2 linked regions of the Notamacropus eugenii genome follow. The protein of the gene in region 2 interacts with the protein of the main gene of each other region in a biochemical or structural test. Links are inferred from orthologs where the notes say so. Each region holds a gene or a part of one and is shown on either strand. Other genes may lie near its edges. The genes, in order: CCK and CCKBR.

Evidence for each region.
Region 1: the proteins of CCKBR (region 2) and CCK form a complex in vitro, tested with the Homo sapiens proteins (3 studies listed by BioGRID). The link is inferred for Notamacropus eugenii from reciprocal best matches to the Homo sapiens genes CCKBR and CCK.

The regions. Positions count from the first base shown.
Region 1 is NC_092874.1:45,376,308-45,388,815, forward strand, and holds the start of CCK (cholecystokinin), read right to left. Parts: upstream 4,718-12,508; 5' UTR 4,603-4,717; intron 2,622-4,602; 5' UTR 2,620-2,621; coding exon 2,364-2,619; intron 1-2,363. UniProt on the Homo sapiens protein: This peptide hormone induces gall bladder contraction and the release of pancreatic enzymes in the gut. Its function in the brain is not clear.
Region 2 is NC_092876.1:89,302,297-89,314,535, reverse strand, and holds the start of CCKBR (gastrin/cholecystokinin type B receptor), read left to right. Parts: upstream 1-6,696; 5' UTR 6,697-7,834; coding exon 7,835-7,982; intron 7,983-12,239. UniProt on the Homo sapiens protein: Receptor for gastrin and cholecystokinin. The CCK-B receptors occur throughout the central nervous system where they modulate anxiety, analgesia, arousal, and neuroleptic activity.

The sequences.
Region 1 (12,508 bases), on a different chromosome or scaffold from region 2:
TGTTGCCCAAGACTGCATTATCTATTTTTTTTTCTTTTACTGCCATGACTTGTATTGAACCTGTGGTCCACTAAGACCTCCAGATCCTTATCAAGAGAAGTGTGATTTAGTCACATCTTCCCCATTTGTTCCAGTGAAGAGGATTGAATCATTGCTTTTCTTTTTCCTACCTATGAGATCCTGAGTTAATCACTTCATTTCTCTGCCTTAATTTCCTCACCTGCTAGCTGAGAGGGTTGAACTTAGATAACTTATGGTCATTTTTGACTTTATATGCCATGATCCTATGAATACAATCTCAAACTTAGTTCATGACATGGAAGGTATATATGGATGAAAGGAAAGTCACATGTAAGTAGTTCCACTTGAAGCAATTACTAAAACTATTGGCCTGAGGCAGCACTGGCGAAGTGGATGGAAAACCTCCCTAGAAATAAGGGAAACATGGGTTCAAGTCTTGCTTCTGGTACATATTGGTTGTGTGATCCTGGGCAAGTCACTTAACCTTTCAGTGGTCTGCTCAACTCTAACTCAATGGTGCCAATGTGCCTTGGTAGAGGAAGCCTCCTCATTCAGGAATTCCCTAACAGTGGCATCAAACCCAAATAGCAATGGAAGCCATTACATAAGGATCCCTGTGGACTGCACATTGGCTCAGTTTTTAAAATGTAATATCATCTTAATAATTGCTTATTGACTTAAGAACCATAAAAGTTGGGAGACTGACTTGAGTGGTAGAACCTCTAGAATCTCTGTTCTTTCCACATTGAGCTGTGTGAGGACAGAGATGGCATTGAAGTCCAGGATTCCTGGAACCCAGTCCATGATGCTTTCTGAGAACCTAATTTATTCCCAGGGAATAATGTCAGATGCTGGAGAAATGATGGTTCATTCATCTCTTAGGGAATTGGTGAACAATCTCTATTCAAACAGTAAGAAATAAATCATCAGATCCTTTCACAATGGTGATAGTCTTTAAAGGTTTTAAACCCAAATGTCCTTCTCACCCACGGATGATCCCTCTCAGCTTGGCAGAGAAGCATTCATTTAACATGAAGCATTCACTCCTTCTAATTCTTGCTTTGGTGAAATCTGACACAGCAAAATTTAATATTCTAAGGGCCACTATTTCTGTCAAATCTTGTAAGTCTATTAAAATTCACGTTGGGTGTTCCTCCACGATTTTAAAGTCAAAATGCATAGGGATTGTATGATCATAGTTTTAGGGCTGGAAGGTACCTTGGAAGCCATCTAGATTAATTTCCTCTTTTTACAGATAAGGAATCAGAGGTTGAGGAGAAACAAAGTGGCTTCTTACATGGGGATTAAAAGGTAAGCTCAGTATTCAGACTAGGAACTCCAGCTCTAATGTCCTTCCCACTGTACCACACTGATCCTATATATTTGGTTAAAAAAAATAGGGGTTAGAAGTTTTTTATGACTATCCTATTTTAATTATCTGAAGGAATTAATTCAGTTTTGGTGTGAAAATATTCATTGAGGAAATATGAACATCTTCAGAGAAAGAACTGAAGCCTCAACAAATAAATAATGTCAGTATGGGGAACTGAATTACTGGTGACTCTTCTTTTCATAGCCTGGCCCTCTAGTTAGTCACTGAGCATCATATACAATAGGGTTTTTTTAAAAAAAATATTTATTTTAGATTTCGTTTCCCCCTTTTATTTATTCATGCATTTTTTAAACATTCTTTAAAAAAATCTGAGTTCCAAGTTCTTTCCCTCCCTTCCTCCCATTCTCTGCCCATTGAGAATAGAATAGGGGTTTTCTTAATCTTTTTTTTTTTTTTGTATCATAGATGGCTTTGGCAGCCTGTGAAGTAAATAATATTTTTAAACACATAAAATAAAGAGGAAAGCATAGGCTAATGAAGATATAGGTGCAGTTTTTTTCTCTCATCCAGGTTCACAGACTCCTTGAAAGCTATCCACAAACCCCCAAGATGTCCATGGACCCCAGGTTAAGAATCAGTGCCAAATAATAACAAAATCTTTGTAGCACTCCAAGCCTCAATTTCTTCATCTGTAATATGGGAATGAGAAATAGGACTTAACTAATTAGGTTTACCTTGCAAACCTCCACAATGTCTTCCAGCTTTAACTTAAGGAACGCTACATAAACATCACCTGCCACTAGCATTAATTATTATTATTTCAGCACTTAGAATGCTAAAAATGGCTACAGGTTTTGTTGCTTGCAAAATATGTGTTGAGGAAAAGAAAAAAAAGGAACTTATTCCTATAAATATATTTACTTCTGAGTTTTTCTACTGAACATTGCAAAAAAGCCTTGTAGAAATATTTGCAAGAGATGAGGGAGAAGAGGGTGAGGGATTCTGTTACCTTTCCTGGCTTGTTGGATGTACCTGGCCAACAAAGCCCCGAAGTTGCTCCTGGAGTCCGCATTTCCATCAGCTCTCTGTAGAGGCTTCAGTTGACTGGGGGAGGCAGGAGCACGGACATGCCGGTGCTGGGCAGCCAGGCTCTGCTCCAGCTCGGAAGTCCCTGGGTTGGCATGGCTGGACTCTTTTGGCTGTTGTCCCAAGGAGCTTGCTGACAGGACAGCGAGGAGCACGCAGATGCTGAGGCTACTGTACATAGCTGCAGGAGGAGGGAAGGAATTCAGAGGCAGTTAGGGGAAAGAAGACTGCTATGCTGAAGGAGCAGTGGAAAACAGAGGAAGACTGGCAGGAGGCTACCCCAGGTAAGAGATAAGGTGGTGCCTGGTTACACTCTAGAGGAGCTTGTGACAAAGTACAAATAGCATACAAAGGACATTTTCAGGTGATGCTATGAGACAGACCCTTTGCCTATAAAAGTGTCTTTTTATTGTTTTAATTGAGTCTACTGAGCCTTTACTGGAATTGTAGAATTTTCCAAGTGGAAGGAATCTCAGAGATAAATCAGATCATCCAGCCTTTTTAGCTTTGTTCATTCTTTCCCCAGTGAAATATATGTCTTGAGGGAATGCAAGGAGGCAGATTAAAGTACCTAGCACGCATCTGTAAGCTTTTTGGGTGTGTCATGGATCCCTTTGTCACTCTAGTGAAACCTATGGGTTCCTTCTCAAAATAATAAGGATTTAAAAAAAATTCATAATTGAAGGAAACACTAAACTTCAGTTAGAGGTTAGTGAAAATAATGATGTGATTTTCCCCCCTCATCCAAGTTCATGGACCCTTTGATATCTTTGAACCTCAGATTAAGAAATCCCAATCTAGACCAAATTTCCCATTTCCCAGATGAAGACAACGGAGATCCAGAAAGGTTCAGTTTTTTTGTTTTCTTTTTTACCAAATGTTGTACAGTTAGGAACTGGTTGAAGCTAGGACAAAAGCTTTGGAAGCAGAGGACCTGAGTTTAGATTCTAGCTGGACTGCTGAGTTACCTTTCTGACCTGGGGGCAAGTCACGTGACTTCTTGGGTCTCAGTTCCTCCTCTATAAAATGAGATTAAATTAGATAACCTGAACTCCATTTCAGTTAGAACTTCAGTTAGATCTGTGATTTTATAAGCCTATGGTTTCTCAGCTTAGAAGTCCAGTGTTTTTTCATCTATATGTCCTTACTTTCTGACAAAGTACACTTTATGAAAAAGTAGGCAGTATCCACCCCCCAACACCTCTCCTCCCCCCGAGAAAAACTTCTATTTTTTTCTATCTTTAGGAGGAAACCTTTAGTTTGAATGGAACATCATTAATTAGCTTGGATATACTGGACAAGATTCATAGTAGGGGAGAGGCAAAGACAGGACAGCAGAACCTTTGATGAAAGGGAGGAGAATTCATTTTAAAAAGAAGATTCTATTCATTGAATCAGACTCAAACAGAGAACTTATTTCCCCCTTAGTTAAGTAACCATTGTGTTGGATTAAATTGGGAAGAAATATCCATTTTAAAAAGCAGTCAAGAACCACAAAAAATCCCATTTACAGCAGTTTTTTTTTTTTACAAGCAATACACAAGGTTTAGCATTGAATCTTAACCATAATAAATGCATCTTCATTAGAAATATGAAAGACTTAGAGGTCTCACTAGAGATCAGAACACGTTTGAGAAGACATTAATGGTCTACACTAGTTTCCTGGGCAAACGCAATTTTCACTTTCCTAGCACTGGAGTGCTTAATGGTATTTCCATAGCTACTTTGAACCTTAAAATCTTCCAGCATTTTTATTTGGCAAGACTTTAAAAGCCTTCCCAACCCTGCATTATACTTCTTCAAATGATTTCAGTCCCATTTTAAAGGACAGCTTTTACAGTATTTGATTATATCTGTGAGGGAACAGGATGCTAATACCTTGAAGACTAAACTTTTTTTCCTCAAAAATACAAATCAATTTGACTCCACTTACAACTTACTAACCATTGTCATTAAAAATGCTATTTAAAATAATGTCATAGTTTCTCATTTTGACTAAGTCTGAAGAAGGAATAGTTAAAAATGCAGTTATAAGTAATAATTTAAAACCATGAGAGACATGGAAAATAGATCACCAGAAATACATGATAATAGGCATTCCTGTGGCAGTAAATGACAATTTCATCCCTCTCATAAAAATGAGTTAATTCCGAATTTCCTACCTTAAAAATATGATAGCAACTTCCTATTTCGAGCCAGAGAGATGTGTTGAGTGTCCAGGTTAGACAACTTATGGTGGTTTGGAAAAGCTGTCTCTTAAATAGTCCAGCCTGCTGCCTGTAGTAGAGTCATCTATTGACACAGTGCTGACGCAGATAGGGGATCAACATGTGCTCAGATAGATGCTAAAGGGTCAGAACAAATTAATTTAACTCCCAGAGGAAAATGGTCACTATATATGTGTGTGTGTGTGTGTGTGTGTGTGTGTGTGTATGTGTGTGTGTGTGTATATGTATATATATATATAACTACACACACACACATACACACACACACATACACACACACACACACACACACACACACACACCATTTAAGAACTGGTTAACTCCTCTCTTGCCAGAATTTATTCTCTGTCTTTTGTACCTATATTAGCTGCCTAACTCAGAATAACCCTGGGAGGTGGGTGCTAGTATCACCTCCATTTTACAGATGAGCGAACTAAGGTTAGTGTTTGAGTTGAGACTAGAACTCAGGTCTTCCTGAGTCCAATGCTAGTGCTCTACCCACTTTGATACCCAGTCATCTAGTAGTTGTCTAGGAGAATTGAAGCAATATTTTGCAGGATAAGGAACCTTCATGCTTACCAGTATCACTAAAAAGTGTTCTGCACACAACTATCTATCTATTCTGTCTTTCATTTTCATCACTTGTAAAATGGGACCAATGAGATCTGTTTTTCTTCCCTCAGAGAAATAAACTTAGGGTTAAGGAGACAAAGGGCTGTTTTTGTCAGTCTCCAAGTCACCAACTTTATGGTAGCAAGGAATTTAGAGCCTTATGCTCACTTAGCCTGTGTAGGCGGGTTTTCATTCATTCTTTCGTGTGTTAAATGTGTGCTTATTATGTGCCACTTACTCCACCTGTGAGGTATTGGAGATCCACAGACAAAACCCAACCAGTCCCTCTAGTCAAAGAAGTGACATTCTCCTGGAAAGAAAGAACTGATAGGCACCTAGATAAAATTCCTATCTTCTGCTTGCTAATTTGTATCATTTTTAAGTGCCTACTGTGTGTGTAAAGAGTTCTAGACTTGAGTCTTAAAATACTTGTTTACCTCAGTTTCCTCATATGTAAAATGAACTGGAGAAGAAAATGGAAACCCCTCCAGTATCTTCGCCAAGAAAACCCCAAATGGGATCATGAAGAGTGGGACATGACTGAAAAAAAGACTGAAAAACAAAAACTTGTGTTGGCAAGTCATTTAACCCTTTCTATACCACAGTTTCCTCAATGGAAAGATGATGAAGTTAGATTAAGTCTTCTGAGGCCCATTCCAACTCTAAACTTATGACCCCATAATAAGGACAATAAATATATATTATTTCCAATTCATTCAGGTAACTCAGAGGAATCATCCTAGGAGTACTGATTTAGAAGCAGTGAACTCCTATTCACTTTGATACTACCCATGTGACTGGACTTAATTTTTTAATTGCTTAATTTCTCTGGGCCTCAGTTTCCTCATTTGCAAAAGCAGGGAGAGGTGACTCTACGGATGATAATGTCCTATCTAGCTCTAAATCTGTACTTCAATTATCCCAAGCATGGTACCCTTGGCCAACTTCTAGCCTCCATCTTGGGCTGCTCTTGAGTCCTGTGTATAGGATATTCAGGAACTAACTTTTCTCCTATATGTATCTACCCAGTCAGCTTAGCAACCCTTAGTTTGCCTAGGCTATGGAGATCTCTTCTCCCTTGTCAGATTGCTTTCACTTCCCAACATAAGACATTCCTGAGTCATAATGGACTTCTTTACCACTGCATTGAAAGGGCTGTCGGAGGAAGGGCTGAGCCTGGAATGTATCTCCATAGAGTGAATTAAATATTTCAGAGGAAGATCTGACCGAGGCGGCTGTCAATAAAGTCTTGTACTAGGCCGGAGGTATGATTTCTTGAATTAGGTACAGGAAGCAAACTTTCAGAAGCAGGTATGGGCTGTCTCAGCCTCCCTTCCCATATACAAAGTACCAGGTGTAATAGCTAAGATCAGAGTAGAGATTCCGCTCCTTGAGAGGTTGTACCCACTTATTAGTTACTATGTGTATCTGGGCAGTGGAGGTGGGGGTGGGGTCGGGGAGGAAGGACAGACTCGAGGATGACTTTGGTCTAACTCTCTCCTCTCCTCAGGACCTATTTCCAGTTTTGCACAACACACTCCTATTTCTAAACTTAGCCGGTCTCCCAACCACTCATTTGAACTTGGCAGGGGCTCTTATTCTTCGAACCCGATTGTCCCTGGGTATGTTACAACTCAGAAGGGCAATTTTTCATCTAGGACGAGGGGAGTCACAGATCAGGGTAGGCAGGGTGGTTCCGAGGTGAGGCATTCACATCAATTTCAATCTGGCCTTTGACCTTTTGAAAGCTTCTTACTATCCTCCTGCAGTGGAAAGCATACTGAAATTTGTGCCAAAGAAGTGGGAGCTAATTCGGACAGCTACTCGCTACTAACTCCCTGTGTGACCTTAGCTAAGCCGTTATTTCTCTTCCCTGGGCCTCAGCTTCTACATTTGTAAAAAGACCAGCCCGCCTACGTGATCTCTGAGGTTCCTTTCAATTCTGAAGCAAGATTCCTTACAATCCTTTGCCTTGGGCCATCTGCACTTTTAACTCCATTTGTTGAATCTAGACCTTCCCGACCCCGTTCCCTGGGGACACGCCCTCTCTAAGGTCCTCCGCAGCTCTAAATCCTAGGATATTGGGCACTTGAAATTCCTAACCTACTTGAAGATCCTTCCGCCTCCCCTTCCCCTCCCTCTTTTCCCGGTCTATGGCATATTCCCAGAAGTAGAAGTCTGTGCTTCCTGCCCTGAATCCCTGGGGCTTGAGGGGAAAAAAAATGACCCTAGCTCCCCACTTTCACCATTCTTCATCCCTTACCCCAAAGCTGAAGCCACGGACCCCTGATAAAACAGTGGTACAGCTGGCCACAGCTGGTAGAGAAAGTGGGCCAATGGAAAGATGTGGGATCGGCAGACCAGGGGTAACAGCAGCTCCTCGAACCTTCATTCCCTCTCCTGAACCCAGGGTGAGAACCTGGGGTCCTGAATCAACGAGAACATCTCTCGCTCGGTTTGTCCCGCTCGGAGGCGGGCCAGGAGTTGGTGGGGACGTCCAGGGGAGCATTCTGGTCCAATAGTTGAGAGGGGAAAGTGACATGCCGGGGAGGCGGCCGCGGTGAGGCGGCTGTCCTCTGCCTAGCTCCGCCAACCTGCCGTGCTGTCCTCTGGCGTCGGCTCGCAGAATGCCCTCTGCGCTCCCCTGCGCGGTGCTGGGCTGCTCCCCGCTCCCCTCTCCTTCGTGCTCCCGGCTCCATGCTCCGTCGCTCCGCTCCTGTGCGCCCGGTGCCAGGGACCCTTCTCCTTCGATGCGCCCTGCTCCGTGGCGAGGCTCTCGCGCGCCCCTCTTCTTTCCCAAGCTAAGCAGCTTAGTTCGCTTTACTTCCCTCTCCTCCGCAATTCACCAGGGACAGCAAATCTCGGCTGAGAAGGTCCTTCAGTAGTTCTGATTTCTCTTCTCTTCTCTTCTCTTCTCTTCTCTTCTCTTCTCTTCTCTTCTCTTCTCTTCTCTTCTCTTCTCTTCTCTTCTCTTCTCTTCTCTTCTCTTCTCTTCTCTTCTCTTCTCTTCTCTTCTCTCTTTCTCTCCTCTCCTCTCCTCTCCTCTCCTCTCCTCTCCTCTCCTCTCCTCTCCTCTCCTCTCCTCTCCTCTCCTCTCCTCTCCTCTCCTCTTCTCTTCTCTTCTCTTCCTTCCCTCTTCATTTCTTTCCTTCTGGCTTTGCTTTGCTTTCCTTTTCCCTCCTTTCCTTTCCTGTAGTCGGTCCTCTCCCGCAATCCAGTCTGCCTCTCCCGGCCCAGGAAGGTGTGAGAGATCTCTGACACTGAGACATTTGGACGTGGGAGCCTTATACATTTACTTTGTCCTTCCCCGAGGGAGACCCAGGTGAAGACTGCATAGCTCTCATCTTCCTTGCATTTTTAAAGTCAAGCATTTACACAGTACTTTTTATTGTAGGAGATGTGAAGAGGAGTTGATTAAATGATTTTAAGTGACTTATCCATAAGGTTGTTATGGTTCATGTAGATTGGTTGGAGTAACTAGGTGCATTTTTTTGTTTGTTAACTGTGGTAAAAAATTTCTGAGCTAATTCTAGAGAGGTAAACTACTGTAATGGATAGAGTTCTGGCCTCCAAAGCCAGGAAGCCCTGGGTTCAAGTCTAGCTTCTGAGGCACCCTAGCTGTGACTATGAGCTGTGGGACCCTTAACTTCTCAACCTGCCTCAGGCAACTCTCAGAAACTCAGGTGCCAATCTGCAACGGTAGAGGGAGTTTTCTCATTGCAATAAAATCATAGGTCCTGTTCAAAAAAAAAGAAAGAAAGAAAAAGAAAAAAAAGAAAAAAATTTCTAGGAAAAAAGAAACCTGTTTAAACAGGGAATCTAGTTACTTCGTGGACACTAAGGTTGACATTACCTCATCTCCAAAGGGGAAACTTCAAAGATGTCACTGACTAACAAATCCTTTCATCTCTCTGACCCTGAGTGTTTACCTTTGCAAAAGGAGAGGACTGGACTAGGATTTTGTATTCTGGGTCTCTCAAAGCAAATATTTCAGAAAAAGTCCCCCTTTTTGTTCATCATAAAATCAGCAGATAGATATCCACTATCCTGTGACCCAGGAACAACATGAAATGATTGTCATGTTTATGGAGAAATAAAAAAAGGAGAAAGCTGACAAGAGTTGCTTTCCATTCCCTTTTCCATTCCAGAATCATAGGAGGAATTACTGGAACTCTTAGCAAGTTCAATAACTGATCTTCAGCCAGTGCCTACCATTAGCTGAGTTAGAAGGAATTAAATTATTAAACCCACCAATTTTATGAGTAGAAGGTACATTGGATACCATCTTAGCCAACCTCCTCAGTTTTACAGATGGGGAAATTTGGGCCTCATAAAGTGAAATGACTTGCCTAAGGTCTTGTAGCTAGTGAATAGAGCTGCCATGTCATTTGTCTCCAAGTGTAGGGCTCTTTCTACCCATAAACCTCTGCAAATTTCCCTTGCTGGATTAGCAAAGTCTGAGTCTCCAATGAATTCATGTTCTAGTCACTTGAGGCCATTAAAAAAATTATTTTTGTTTTGAGATCCAAATTTTCTCCTTCCTGCTACTTTCCCCACCCATTGAGAAGGTGAGAAATATGATAACTACTATACATATGAAGTCATGCAAAATATATTTCTATATTTGCCATGTTGTGAAAAAAGCAAGAAAAATAAAATAAAAACTTCAACTTGCACTGAGAGTCCATCAGTTCTCTCTTTGAAAGTGGATAGCCTTTTTCATCATGAGTCCTTTGGAATCATCCTGGATCATTATATTGATCAGAGAAGCAAAGGCTTTCACTGTTGATAGTCATTACAATGTTGCTGTTACTGTGTTCCTTGTTTTCCTAGCTCTGCTCACTTCACTTTGCATCAGGTCATATAAGTCTTCTCAGGTTTTTCTGAAATCATCCCATTCATTATTTCTTATAGTACAATAGAATTCCATCATATTCATATACCATAACTTGTTTAGCCATTCCCCAATTGATGGGCATTTTCTCCGTTTGCAATCCTCTTTCATCACAAAATGAGCTGCTATAAATATTTTGTACACATAGGTCATTTTCCTTTTTATTTGATCTCTTTGGGATACAGACCTAGTAGTGGGATTGCTGGGTCAAGGGGGTACATACAGTTTTATAACCCTTTGGGCAAAGTTCCAAATTGTTCTCCAGAATGGTTAGATCAGTCCATAATTTTTCAATTTTTCACATGCCCACCTCCCACCCCAGCATTTGTCATTTTCCTTTTCTATCATGTTAGGCAATCTGATAGGTATGAGGTGGTACCTCAGAGTTGTTTTAATTAGTGTTTCTCTAATCATTAGTGATTTAAAGCATTTTTTCCACATGACCATTGAGAGTTTTGATTTCTGCTTCTGAAAATTGCCCATTTATATATTTTGACCATTTATCAATTAGAAAAATGGATCTTATTTTTATAATTTCAGCACAATTCCCTATATATTTGAGAAATGAGACCCTTATCAGAGAAACTTGCTGTAAGAATTTTCCCCAGTTTTCTGCTTTCCTTCTAATTTTGGCTGCATTGGTTTTGTTTATACAAACCCTTTAAAATTTAATGTTATCAAAATCATCTACTTTACCTCCCATGAACCTCTCTATCTCTTATTTGGTAATAAACTCTTCCTTTATCCATATATCCGACAGTTAATTTTTCCCCTGCTTTCTTAATTTTCTTATTATTTCACCCTTTACATCTAAATCATATACTCATTTTGATCTTATTTCGTTATATGGTGTGAGATGTACCATACTGTTTTCCAGTTTTGCCGACAGTTTTTGTCAAGTAACGAGCTCTTACCCTTGGCACTCCACTCTTTTGTGTCACTGTGGTCATTTACTTTGCATATTTGTGTACCTAATCTATTCCATTGATCAGCCTCTCTATTTCTTATCCAGTACCAGATCGTTTGGATGATTAGCACTTTGTAATATAGTGTGAGACCAGACACTGCTAGGCTGCCTTCTTTCATTTTTTTTTTCATTGATTCCTTTGGTATTTTTAACACTTTGTTCCTCTAGATTCAGATTTTTCTAGCTCTACAAAATAGTTCTTTGGCAGTTCAATATGACACTAAATAAATAAATTTAGTAATATTTTCATTTTTATTATATTGGCCTGTTCTACCTATAAGAAATTAATATTTCTTCAATTATTTAAATGTTTTTTTTGTGAAAAGTGTTTTGTAATTGTGTTCATATAGTTGCTGTGTATCTTATTCTGTCTGTGGTTATTTTAAATGGAATTTTTCTTTCTATCACTTCCTACTGGCTTTTAATGGTAAGATATAGAAATATGGGTTTATACTTTGTGCCTTTTCAACTTGAAAGTGCAATCAAATTTTGCTGTGGTCATGGGGACAGTGACTCAAGTTATATTGTGAAAGGTTGCCTGGGAAAGAATGGTTTGCTTCCACTTTTTCCATTCTGCTCAGTATTCTGCCCTCAACTCCATTGTATCTTAGACTTTTCTTTTGGGTTCAGTAGAAGTATTTGTTTGTCACACCTTTGGGTTAGAGGAGCTAATTAAATATTTTCATTTCTTAAAAGAAGTCCCAAAAGGTTGCTGGTGGGGGGTTGGGGGAGTATGACAAAGTACAAATAAATGAGAGATATTAAACTGTGGAAACTCATGACTTTTTATATTAGTCTACTTAATTATGCCAATAGAATCTGGCAGCAAGATTTTTCTGACTAAATTACCATATGAATAATTAAAAATTGATTGCATTATAATTTATCTTCCCTGTTACAGTTATAAACTAATTACTTCTCATTCATTTCAATACTTCCAAAGGACTATACTTTCATTGTTTAGAGGACTATAAATTGCAGATGATGACTCCTTTACTGGCTCCAAGTCTCCAGCACCACCTTGAATGGACAGTTCTCATGAGTTGTGGTAGCCAAAAAAATTACTGCCTAGTAGCCAGTCTTCTGGTGATAAACTTTTCTAAGTAGCTAGGCTGGTCTTTGAGGAGATGCTAATCACCACTGGCAGGCTGTACTGGAAACCTTTCCAGTTTGGTAGGACTTCCGATATCTTAACGTCAGAACCTTTGAGAATCTAGGCTCACCTCTACCTTAAGACAGCAGAATAAAGTTCATTAGAAACATTTACCAAAGTGGTCCTATCTAGAAAGGATCTAATTGTGAATTTCACAGAATAATGGTAGATTGGTAGAGCTGGAGTCAGGTCTGGGGCTGGTTCTATCCTCTGA
Region 2 (12,239 bases):
AAGGTAAAACTCAAACCCAGAGCAGCCAGATTGTAAGGCAATGGTCTTTCCATAGCTAGGCTTGTGTTTGTCCTTCCTTGCCAAAGAAGACTGTGCCATCAGAGAAATGATGACATGACTTGCACTTGACTTTGTTTTGAGTGAGGGAGGGCCGTGCAAGGTCACTAGCCTCACTTCTCCTCCAGAGCCACCTGAGTCCAGTGACAAGATATTCATCAGGATGACTGGAGATGGCCCAGGATGCACTGGGAGACCTTGGGCCCTTTAGGCCAAGGTCTATGCAGGTACTCACTTAGGGTGAGGTAATGCCAATTCATTGAATAGACCTGTTTAAGAAGTAGCCAGGGCATGGCCCCTTTAATGAGGCAAAGAAAAAGAAAGACATCAGGCTGGGAGGGAAACAGCAACAGTCTGAAGAACAAAGAAGAAAGGACTAAAGAAGCGCAAGGTGTACAGCTTCAGTCATCTCGTGGAAGCTCTCACTGGTTTGAAAGGGCAGTCTGATAGGGTTGGAAGTGAGAAGAGAATAGATGACAGAAAGATGGACACATAATTAGATGGACAGGCAGATGGATGGATAGAGCATTTGTTAAGCACTTAAAGTGTGCTCCCCACAGTGCTAAGCACTAGGGATACAAATACAAGCAAGTCAGTCAGTACCTGCCTTCAAGAAGCTTACAGTATAATGAGAAAGATAACTCATGAAGGGGAATTGACAGAGGGGGGAGGTGTACCAGCTTTGAAATAGTACGGAGATGTGTGGAGTTGACTTGAGGGCCTGGCTCCTGACAAAATGTGACAAAAGTTCCCCTATAAGAGGGCAGCTAGGTGATGCAGTAAATAGAGTACTGGCCCTAGAGTCAGGAGGACCTTAGTTCAAATCCAGCCTCAGACACTTGACACACTAGCTGTGTGACCTTGGGCAAGTCACCTGACCCCAATTGCCTTGCCTTCCCCCCTCCAAAAAAAAAAATGTTCACCTATCAGAGTCCCACATCCAGGGATGTGCTGGAGCCAGCTCCAACCTCTCCTATTGAATTTTCAGTGTGAGCTGGAAATCCACAAACACTACATACAAGTCATAGCTTGATTTATTGTTTTGTTGATTGACTAGACTTGACTTAAGAAAGTGATAGAAAAAAATGTTAATCATGCAGTTTATATTTAAAAGTACATCCTGCATACAATTTTTTTTTTCTGAAAACTAGTTGTTAAATATTTACCAGAACACCACTGCTTGCAGCCCAGGCAGGTGAAGAATTCAAACTACTAGTAGGAGGAAAATGAGGATGGTAGCCAAGATAGAGGCAGTATGGTATAGAGATGACCAAAGAAAAAAATGTTTAGAAATGTTGCCCTGATGAATGACAGAAAGAGTAAGGTTGAATAGGATTCAAACAGAAGTAAGGGCCCAGCTGAGATTATGTGAGATTATTATCCACAGATAATGAAATCATCTTGATTTCAATATTTTCTCCAACTATGCTCAGCAGCCTTAAAACAAGATTGGAGGTCAGATGGTGGGAGTTACCAAGGGATAAGGATTTAAAGGTCAAGAGGAAGAAAGGAAGGGATGAAAGGGGGAGGGAAGAAGTATTTATTAACGCCATATACCAAGCATTTATTAACTATATGCCAAGCACTATCCTAAGCACTTTACAAATATAATTTCACTTGATCTTCACAACAACCCCATAAGATGTATGTGTGTGTGTGTATACATAGGCACACACATATATATACAAATATACACATACATATATGTGCTCTTATTATCCCCATTTTGCAACTAAGGAAACTAAGGCAGACAAAGAGTTGAAAGATCAGAGGGCAGAGGATTTAAAAGATTCTGGAGCAGTAGAAGGGACAAACCATGGGATCAAGGCTGGGAATGAAGGCAAGCAAAGCCAGAGGGAAAAAAAGTAGAACAGAAGAGTAGAGGTGACATAACAAAGGTCACCAAAATGGTGACGTGTTAGTTTAGTGTGAATAAATGCACAAGAGAGGGAAGGGAAGAAAAGTCAGAGATTAGAATTTCAAAGTTCTGGACCCTAAAGTGGGGGTGTGGAGCTCTCAGCTAAGTCTGGCCTTTGCCTGAGCACATCCAGGAATAAGGCGATCTATTCCATTTTGGTACAGTAATTAACTGAGAATTTTCTTCTCTTCATTGCTCCTAATGAAGAATTGTAACATCCAATTATGACCCCACAAAATGTGCCCAGGACTATAAAAAATACCCTTAAATCAACTTTTATGATTAGTTCAGATGAGAGAGCCCAAGGGAGAAAGGTGACATAGTCATTGTTTATACTGTATGAGCTCAGGTTCACAGTTCCTCCTACTTGTTATCAACTCTAGGGTCCCTGAGGAACTTAACATCACCTTATTAGCTGTTGCAGGAAGACTTTTAGTTCCATTTTCGTCTCTGTAGTCTTAGGTCTGAGAGGCAACAGGCAGAGTGGATAGAGAGACATCCTTGAAGTCAGGGTGATCTGGGTTTGAGTTTTGCCTCTGACATGACCTGGCATGACCTGACAGAACCTGATCCTAGGCAAGTCATTTAACATCTCAGTTCTCGAGGGCCAAGAGTCTACAGTCTAAGACTATAAACTGCAGAGAAAATGCCAACCTGAATTTATAGAGGGAGTTCTTCCTCTCCTCTTCCCCTTCGAGTATCCTATATCAAGGAAATCATAGGTCCATTTCCTATCTGGGGTATGGCTAAGAGGCTATTGGGTAGGGCAGTAGATGGCACACTGGGCTTAGAGTCAGAAAGGCCTGAGTTCATGTCCTTCCTCAAATACTTACTAGCTATGTGACCTTGGGCAAATCACTTAACTTCAATTTCCTTAATTGTAAAGTGAGGATATTAATAGTGCCTTCCTTCCAGGGTTATTGAAGGATCAAATGAGATATTTGTAAAATGCTAAATACAGTGCCTGGCATATAGGAGGCACTTAATGATTGATTATTTCCTCCTTCCTATCTTAGGGGTTGCAGTATCAGGGCTTCATATGTGCATTCAAACCTATTAGGTGTATTAATGACTCTAGTCAAAGCCTGAGAGGGTCATTTGACATAGTCTATCTGTCCTAGGGATCACAAAGATAATGAGAGAAGCTGTAGGGGCACGTGAATGATCCAATGATCTCATGAGGGGCCCGCAGCAGGACATGTTATGATTCTAACCCACAGAAGTTGGGACTCAGGGAGGCCAAATCTTGTTCCAACCTACCTTTCCAGCTATATTTCATATTACTTGCCTCCTTTCTGGCCATATTTAATTTTACTCTCCTTAATAGTTCTATCTTCCAGCCAAATGAGATATTTGTAAAATACTGAGCACAGTGCCTGGTACTTAATAGGCAACTAATAAAAGCTTGATCTTTTCCCACAAATAGATTGCTATCTGTTCCTCAAATTCAATATTCTATGGGAAGGCTCAAAGACTAAGAAGTTTGTTTCTGAATACACATACACACACACGATAGGTTGAAGCAAAGGGCAATTCCTCTTCACAATACTGCTCTATCTAGGGTTTTTGTTCTTGTCATTTCCCCTTCCTTCCCCCTTTCATTTGAATGGGAAACCTAAAGGATCTTGCATGGTTGGGGAAATTATAGTACCTGAGACCTATCTCACTCTTGTGAAATTTCTTGGCAAGGTTTTCCCATGAAAAAAAATGTCATTTGAAAGCACAGTATCTCCCAAAGGAGTTGAGCAGGAGATTACAAAGAATTTCTAACCCTAAATCAAATAGTTTGCTGGGCCAATGAACTGTAATTCAGCTCCAGATGCAGAATTTTCAAGTACCTGTAGGTGTTACTTAGCTGTCTAGCTGTTCTGTGTTCCAAAAGAGCTTGGACTTTAGAAAGAAGGACCATGTTTGTGTAGAAAAAAGCTATGTACAAGTCAGACTTCAAGATTCGATGGATCCTTTTGGAGAAGAGGCATCCAAGAGTTTGTTTTTTTTTCTAATCTATATTAGGTATATGAAAGACCTTGATGCCCTCACTTAAATGGAAGTTTAATTATCTGGGCTATAAGCTAAAAGAGATAGAATCTACTTTCCCTCTTAAGGGAAAGAAGTAGTACAACAGTACCTAGCAGTAACCACATACCCAATGGAGTACCACTGAACAGAGAGAGACATACAAGACATTTTGGAAAGCAGATCCAATGGAAGCGGGTTAATGATATCACCAGAAGACATTGGCAATATTGACACATCAGAAGCCTTTCCATAAATGTGCCCTGTCCACACAAGTGTCCTAGGAATGTCCACTCTTCCCACCTTGAATACATATTTTTGTATGCTCTAGGTTTATGGGGGAAATGTTCTATTACTACTTATCTTCCTATGCTATTTCATTAAATAGCTTTGCTTTGAACTAAACATTTCCTCTGGCTGACTAGTAAAAGTAAATACATTATTAGGGGGCTCAATAACTATGGTTTTTGTGTGAATTTAGAGAGAGTCCTTTAACTTGAAGTATCTTGTCTGGAGTAACCCACATAGAAGCAAAGGTTGCCTGTAGGTACTCTTAATTCCATCATCTATGTGTGTTGTTGTTTGTCCTTCATTTTTGAAGAGGATCAATGACATCACGAGGTGATGTCTTGACTTGTGCAAAAATTAGATTTAAGTGAGTTAGAGTTATACAAAGTCGTCAGCTCTACTCTGTCTTACAAGTCAAAGGAATCCAGTGGCAAGACAAAAGTCAAGACCGCTGGTGATGGCCCAGGATGCAATGGATGACCTTGGCACCTTCCATGTCTGACCAAGCTCTAAGCTCCCCACAGCACCTGCTTCAGCCACCTTCATGGTCGTTGAAACAAATTGCCCATTCCACCAAGAAAAGTATTCACATATGTGAGGTAGACACCCCCTAACTCATCGATAGGTCTGAGGCCTGTTGGTTAACCTCAAAACCTGGTTTAGAGTCTCTACTGAGACAGTTTTACTAGGGTGTGGCCACTGCACATACTGTAGCTTCTTGGAGCCACAGGTGAGAGTTGAGTGCCAGATGGACACCAAAGGTGGATGAATAGCCCTGAAAAGGACTCGGCAAGCCCTCACACTAGAGGTGCTAATTCTCCTTAAACACCCCATATACCCAGTTTTTAGGTGTACATTATTGCAAGCTGTACCTGACATCCAGAATGGGCTCTCATCTCCCTCTGTCTTTAAGATAACTTATCTTTTTTTTTCAAGTATCAGGTTATGTGCCTCTTTCTCAGTGAAGTATTCCTTGACCTGACTCTATCATTCCTCATATTACATTATATTTACCTATCTGTGTAGATCTCTCTCTCTTAAAATACAAGCTCCTTAAGAGGAGAGATTGTTGTGTTAGCTATTGACCCTCTAGTGCCCAGGGCATTCTATTTTGCATTGAGCTCACAACAAATTGGTGAGCCAAATTGGATTGAACCTCATGCTGTGCTATGATTTAAGGGTTCCATCATTTCTGTTCCCTAAATTCTAAATCTCTAACTCTTGTTTTCTCTCTGTCTCTTCTCAATCTTCATGCCCCCATCCCCATCTCTCATTCGCCCCCCACACCCACCCTAGTCTCCTTCATTTCTGTTCCTGCCTAGGCCCTTAAACTCTGTCCCATACTCCCAGGTTCCTTAATTTGTCTTCCTTCAATGTCATTCACCCTTCCCCCTTCTCAATGGGAAAATATCTGCTGGTTATCAGTATTTCCACCTGGGACTCCTTAGCTAGAGCAAATAGGGCTACAGGCCCTAGGATCTGAGAGTCAGCAGAGCTGGGTGAGGTAGCAGTGCCAGGAGACACTGGACTAAGCCTAGGACAAAGTCTGGAAGTAAGGTGGGCATCCTTCCCACAGAGTAGGTGTCCTCCCAGCTGCATCTCAGCTCTCTTCACTTCCTGCCCTTCCCTGCTGCAACTTACCTGGGTCACAACTTTCCTTCTGAATTGGAATTCTTAAACTGCTCCCATCCTCCCATCCCTGCCCTTCTTCCCTTCTACCCTGCCCATCCCTTCAGTCCCATCAATCCTCAGTCTTTGGGGGCTATCAATCATGAGGGAAGGGACACTAATGGGCTTTTTTCCCTGAAAGATGGGGGTGGAGGGGTGGAGGAAGGACACAGTATCCCTGGAGCCAAGGAGATGATGAAGAGACTAAGGAGAGGGTTGGGGAGGGGGAGATGCCCTCACAGATAGGGCTGGAGGCCAAGGACCTGGCAAGCATCTCCATCCCTTTGGCACCCCCTCCTATTTTTCTCATCAATGCATCCCCTGTCTTCTCAGTCCTTAGGATCTGGTGCCTCTTTTTCAAGACAGCTTACCCATTCTTACCTTTAAGGAGACTGAACAAGCCCAGGATGGGTCCTGTGATACTAGAGGAGGTGAGATGAATGCTGGGGGTCACCATCCTCTCCTCACTTCACCCATCACCTTCACCCCCAACCCACTTTGGCTTCATCTTTGTCCTCCCATCCTCTGCCCTACCCTCCTCCCCGTGGGAAGCCCAGGCTGGTTATCTACATCTCCACCTGCTCCCAAGAGCAAACAGAGGGAGGGGAGAGGTGGTGGTGGCAGCACTGGCACTACCAGGTGCCAAAGGGAGCTAGGGACTCCTCTTTTACTGGTACTCTGCCCCTGGGAAATTTCCACTCATTGGAGTCCTTCCTAAGGTCAGAGTCCTTACTACATCTCAGCTCCCTGAAGTCTATCCGCTGATGAAGAGTATTTGAGTTACTGTAAAGGACTATTTGAGTTGGTGTCATTGCGCCCTGGTCTGTCATTGGGGGTGTTACTGTGGCTCTAATATTACTAGGACCAGAAGTGTGACTGGTTATGACGTTGGGGCCAAGGTATCACTGAGTCCAGAGGTGTCACTGAATAGGTTGTCACTGAGATTTCATTAGTGGCTGTTATTGAGTCAGATGTCTTTGGAGCAAAGCTATTATTGGGACTTGGGATGTCATTGTGTCTCTAGGGGTACTACTGGGGACAGCCAGGAGTTATAAGAGGGGTGTGCTGGGACACAGGATTCTAAGTGAATGGCTGTGAGCCTTCCCTGCTCCCAGTCCGCACCTCACACTTGCCCCCAAATGAAACACGACTCATTGGTGTCCCACTCTACATTTTGGTGCCCCATAGGTCAATACGGTAGCATAGCTGAAGTACAGTACAATTAAAACGTCAGATCTTGTCTCCTACCACCCTTCCTTGCCTCCCCCCGTCCCCCATCAGCAGTGGCAGCCTCAGCCCCGCGCCTGACTCCCTCCAGAAACTGGGGCTGGAGCAGCAGTATAGAGCACCTCCATCCCCCTACGCCCACCCCCAGGCCGAGCGGCCGCGCTGCAGAGAGGGGGGCGGGACCCCAGCTCTGCTTAGCTCTGGAGGAGAGGGGCGGGGCTCCCCAGGCCACCCCAGCCCCAGCACCAGCAGATCCCGCTGCGGAGGGAACGAGGCTGGGAGTCCCCTGGAAAGGGGGAGGAAGATTTTAGGGGTTTGGGGGAGCTGAGGCAGAAAGACACAGGGCATCGAATGACACTGGGAGAAAGCCAAGGGAAAAGATTTGCGGGGAGTCAAGGAGAGACCCAGGGGTAGAGAGACGGGAGGAGAGGCACACGCAAAGGGAGGGACGGAGAGACGCAAGGAGAGAGGGGGAGAAATCCGCGTGGGAGCGCAAGGTGCCGGCCGGAGGCAGAGGGCGGAGCGGACACACACCAGAGCCGGCCAGGTCAGGGGCACAGAAGCGACAGACGCGAGAGCAGGTGGAAGCGGTGGGAAACGGCCCCCTAGGTTCCCGGTCTTCCGAGGGTCTTGTCCCAGGCCCGCCTCTACCCTGGGGCCATGGAGCTGGAGCTGAATCGGAGCGTGCCAGAGCCAGAGTCCCAGTGCGGCCCGGGGCCCCTGTCCCCCAACAGCAGTGCTAACAGCGGTGCCAATAGTAGCTGCGGATCTCCCCGAGGAGGCTCTGGAGCCAGCAGGACGCCCCGAGGTAAGTGTTCCCCTTCTTTGATGCCTCTTGGCCCCATCTCTCTCCCATTCCCGTGTCCCCTTCATCTAGGACCCTTTCCCTCTGGGCCCCAACCCCCATTTCCCACCTCTCCTTTCTCCAGCTTTCTCTGCATGTCCCTTACCCCTGATGCCCCAGGGACCCTACCACAAGCTCCAGAATGCAAAGCCCAAGATCATGGAGGTGGGGTGAGGGGAGGAGCAGGGGTAGGATGGCAAGACTGTCAGAGAGCACTAGAGGAGTATTTGTGAGCCTAAAGGGGAGTTGCGCTGTTGATCAGGGGGCTAACCCCGTAAGGAGAATTCGTGATCTGCAAAGACTTAGAAGCTTTCTGCGTGTAGGGTCCAAATGGAGCGCGCACACACACACACACACACACACACACACACACACACACACACACACACACACACACACACACACACACACACACACACACACACACTAAATCTGTTGTTGAAGCTAAGAAGCTGCCAGAGCTGAGGAGGCACTAGAGGCTGAGAGGAGTGGATACCCCTGTTCACTGAACTCCAAATCTTTCGGACCCCCTCCCCCTGGAAACTGGGACCTTTCTCCCCAGGGTTTTCCTCAAAACATTTCTCTTGCTGGAAACTGACCCCACTCCCTGTCCCATGTCCTGTTCTTTCCCTTCCCCCAGCAGCCTGTCTCTACAAAAGCATGTCTGTCGCTCACCCCATCCCCATTCCAAGACTGCTCATTCCTCTCACATACACTCCTGTTACTCTGAGCTTAGTTCCCTCAAATATCTCATTCAAAATCCCTTCTTCCTCATCTCCCCTGGCTTCTTGGCCTCCCATGTCACTACCATTCTCTCCATCTCCCCACACAACCTTGTGGCATCCCTGCCACACCCCTTCATCCACCTCTGTATAGTTTTTGCCACCAGCTGATCCTCCTTGTGTTCTTGGCCTCTCTGCCCCTCCCCTTCAGAACCCCCTTCTACCTTCCACAGGCTCCTGGCCTCTTTGCTACCCCTGGTGCCTTTCACCTTCACTTCAATCACCATCCTTCATTTCCTGGAAGACCTGAGTCACCTTTTCCAAGGTGCCTTCCCAATTCGACTCCCCTTCATTCATACCCTTCATCTGGGAATCCTTCGGGGCTTATGGAAATTGAGCAATTAATTTGTCCTTGCTTGTTATTTTCTTATCTCTCTATCCAGAACATATAACTTTCCCAGGGCAGCTATATCTCTCACTGAATGGATGTTTGAATGAATGGTAAATAAAAAACCAAAAACAACTGAAAATCATAAAGTGCTACATATGTCATGTGATATAAATAAAAATAATATATTAGTTACTTAGACAGATGAAGATAGAGGAAAGATACAGAGATGGATAGAGGCATACTAGAAGCTTTCAATATTTTTTTTGGTCCAAGAATCACTTTGGTCAAAGATCCCCAGAGGAATTCCCCTTGTTCCCTTGGCATGTCCCCTAACCAGTACAATATGGTGGATTTGGAGTTTAGAGGAGACCTGAATCCTTCCTCTGACACCATCTAATATATGATCTTTGTCAAGAGATTTAGCTACTTTAGGCCTCAATTTCCTCATCTACATGATAAGGAGTTGAACTAGATGCCCTCAAAGGTCCCTTCTAGCTCTGAATCAATAACTAACCTAAAATGAGGGGGATAAAAGTCTAGAGTGCCCTCCTCAGAGGGTTGTCATGCAGGTTAAATGAGACTGTATTACAGCATTTTGCCAACCTTAAAGGTATTTCCAGTGATAGTACTAGTATGGGCTAATGGTCAGCCTTGGATCCAGAAAAACCCAGTTTAAAGTCCTGCTTCTGACAAAGACTAGCTGTGTGATCAGGAGGCCAGTAAGTCACTTCACCTCTTAGTAGCCCCAATTCTCACAACTATAAATTATAAACCAGGGAGTTTCCACATATAGGGATTCCTCCAATTAAAAGAAAAAAAATACCTCTGGAACAGAGAAACAGAGCTTATAAGACCTCATGAAAGGATGTCTTTATGTCATATCAGAAATAAATTAGTAATTCCTTCTTGGAACCAGAGTGTAGATAGGACCACCTATGAAATAATATAGAGACAGGAATATATGTGAGAGACATAGGAGTGTGTGTGAGAGACAGACTAACAGAAAGACAGAGTGTGCTTATGCATGAAAAAGACAGGTTCTGTGTGTGTGTGTGTATGTGTGTGTGTATGTGTATGAGAGAGAGAACTGAAGTATATATAAAGAAAAGGGAGAGAGGACTGAGCTACAGTATGTGTGTATGAGAGCATATGGGAAGGCTTCTGAGGTACAACAGTGTGTGAGAAACAAAGAGGAAAGGAAGACTGCATTTGTGTAAGAGAGGAAAGGGGGGATTCTAAGGGACTGAGGAGTATGCATTTGTGTGAGGGTGTGGAGTGGAGGAAGCTGGGAGATGGAGAGCTGTTAGTGCAAGAGAGTGAGGGAATGAGGTAGGTGACTGGAAAACAAACAGACTTAGAAATAAGACCCAGTAGCTGGACTCATATAATGAACAAAGGGAATGTCCCCTGCTCTGTGCTCATCATACTCAGTTCAGCCTGTGTATTTAAATTGGCTTTGGCCATCATCCTGGATGAAGACAGTTGAGGCTGAGAAGGGTCAAAGGATATAGCTTCTCCCTTCCCAGACTAAGCTCTGCCCCAGAGTCCCAAAGTTCACCAGTTGTATCTGGTGCTTTGATCAGCCTGTGCTCCTTCCCTTCAGTCCCATCTCCTTCTTTCCTTGTCCTTCTACTTTCCCTAATCTGCTTCTCCTCTCCAAAGGAAAGTTCTTTCCAACGTGGTCCCCATATCCACCCCTATGGCTGCTAGAGAGCACTGCACTGACATTGCAGCTGCTTCCTTTGCTGCAAAGATCTTAGCATCACAGATCCAAATCTGGGAGGGAACTCAAAAGCCACCTAGTTAACTCCCAGCCCCCTTTTTGTGGATAGGCCTAGCAAGGGCAAATGATTTGCACAAGGTCACATAGGAAGTAAGCCTTGGAGGAAGAGTTTAAAGCCCTTTTACTGCTGCACTGTCATTAACTTGCTCTGTGACCTTGAGCAAGTCATTGTATCTTTCAGGCCTTCATTTCTTCATTTGTACAATGAGGTGAGTTCCAAAGAGAGGTCAGTGTTTCAAAAAAAATGAAAAAAGAAAAGAAATTGGACACTTGGGGCTTGGAATATTTCATTACAAAAATCAATCACATTTCCATAGTTTTAAAGATTTACAAAGCACTTTCATCATAAGAAGTATATAAATAGGTCAAATATGATTACCACTATTTTTAAAAATGGCTAGGACAGATGACAGTAGAAAATAAAGGCCTTTTAGGCAGGAATTGCTTCACTTCCTGTGTGTACTGCCAGGATTTATCACAGAACCTGTGCTATCATAGACACTTGAAATATTCTTATTAATGGATTGATTGATGAGAAAAAGAAGAAAACTGTCTCCCACAGTAAGTGTTTTTACACTGAGGTGTAATAGAAGAAGCTTTAGACTTGAAGCTGAAGTTGTGACTGGATCTGTGGGAGGGCAGCTTAGCAGGAAAGAGCTGAAGCACTGGAATGCCAGGGCCTAGATTCAAATACTGCAGCTAATGCTCAGTATCCATACAACTGCAAACCAATTAACCTTGCTGGGCCTCAGTTTCCTTATTTGTGAAATGAGACAGTTGGACTAGATAACCTTTGAGATCTTTTCTAGCTCTTCATCTATGATCTATAGATGCTGTCAGTCCAAGTACTTACTGGTTGTGTGACTATGGGCAAAAGACTTTACTCTTGTGAATCTTAGTTTCCTCATCTGTCATATGTGGATGTGTCTTCATATAATACTTGCTCTTCTTATCTCACAGAATCTTGGAGTTGAAAGAGATTTCCCAAGGCATCTAGTCCAACCTGCACATGAATGGGAAATCCTTCTATGACTTCCTTAATGAGTAGAAAGCCAACCTTTCCACTTGAAGATCTCCATTGAAAGGAAATTCATTACCTCCCAAGCATCCCATTCTACTTTTGAAAAGCACTAATGGTTAGAAAATTTTTCCTTATATCAAACTGAAATTTGCTTCTCAGCAATTTCCACCCACTGATCATAATGTTAATCTCTGAAGCTAAGAATAATGAGTCTAATTTCTCTTCCAAGTGACAGCCCTTCAAGCACTTAACTATCATGTCTCCCCTGAGCTTTCTCTGCTCCAAGCTAAACATCCCCAGTTCT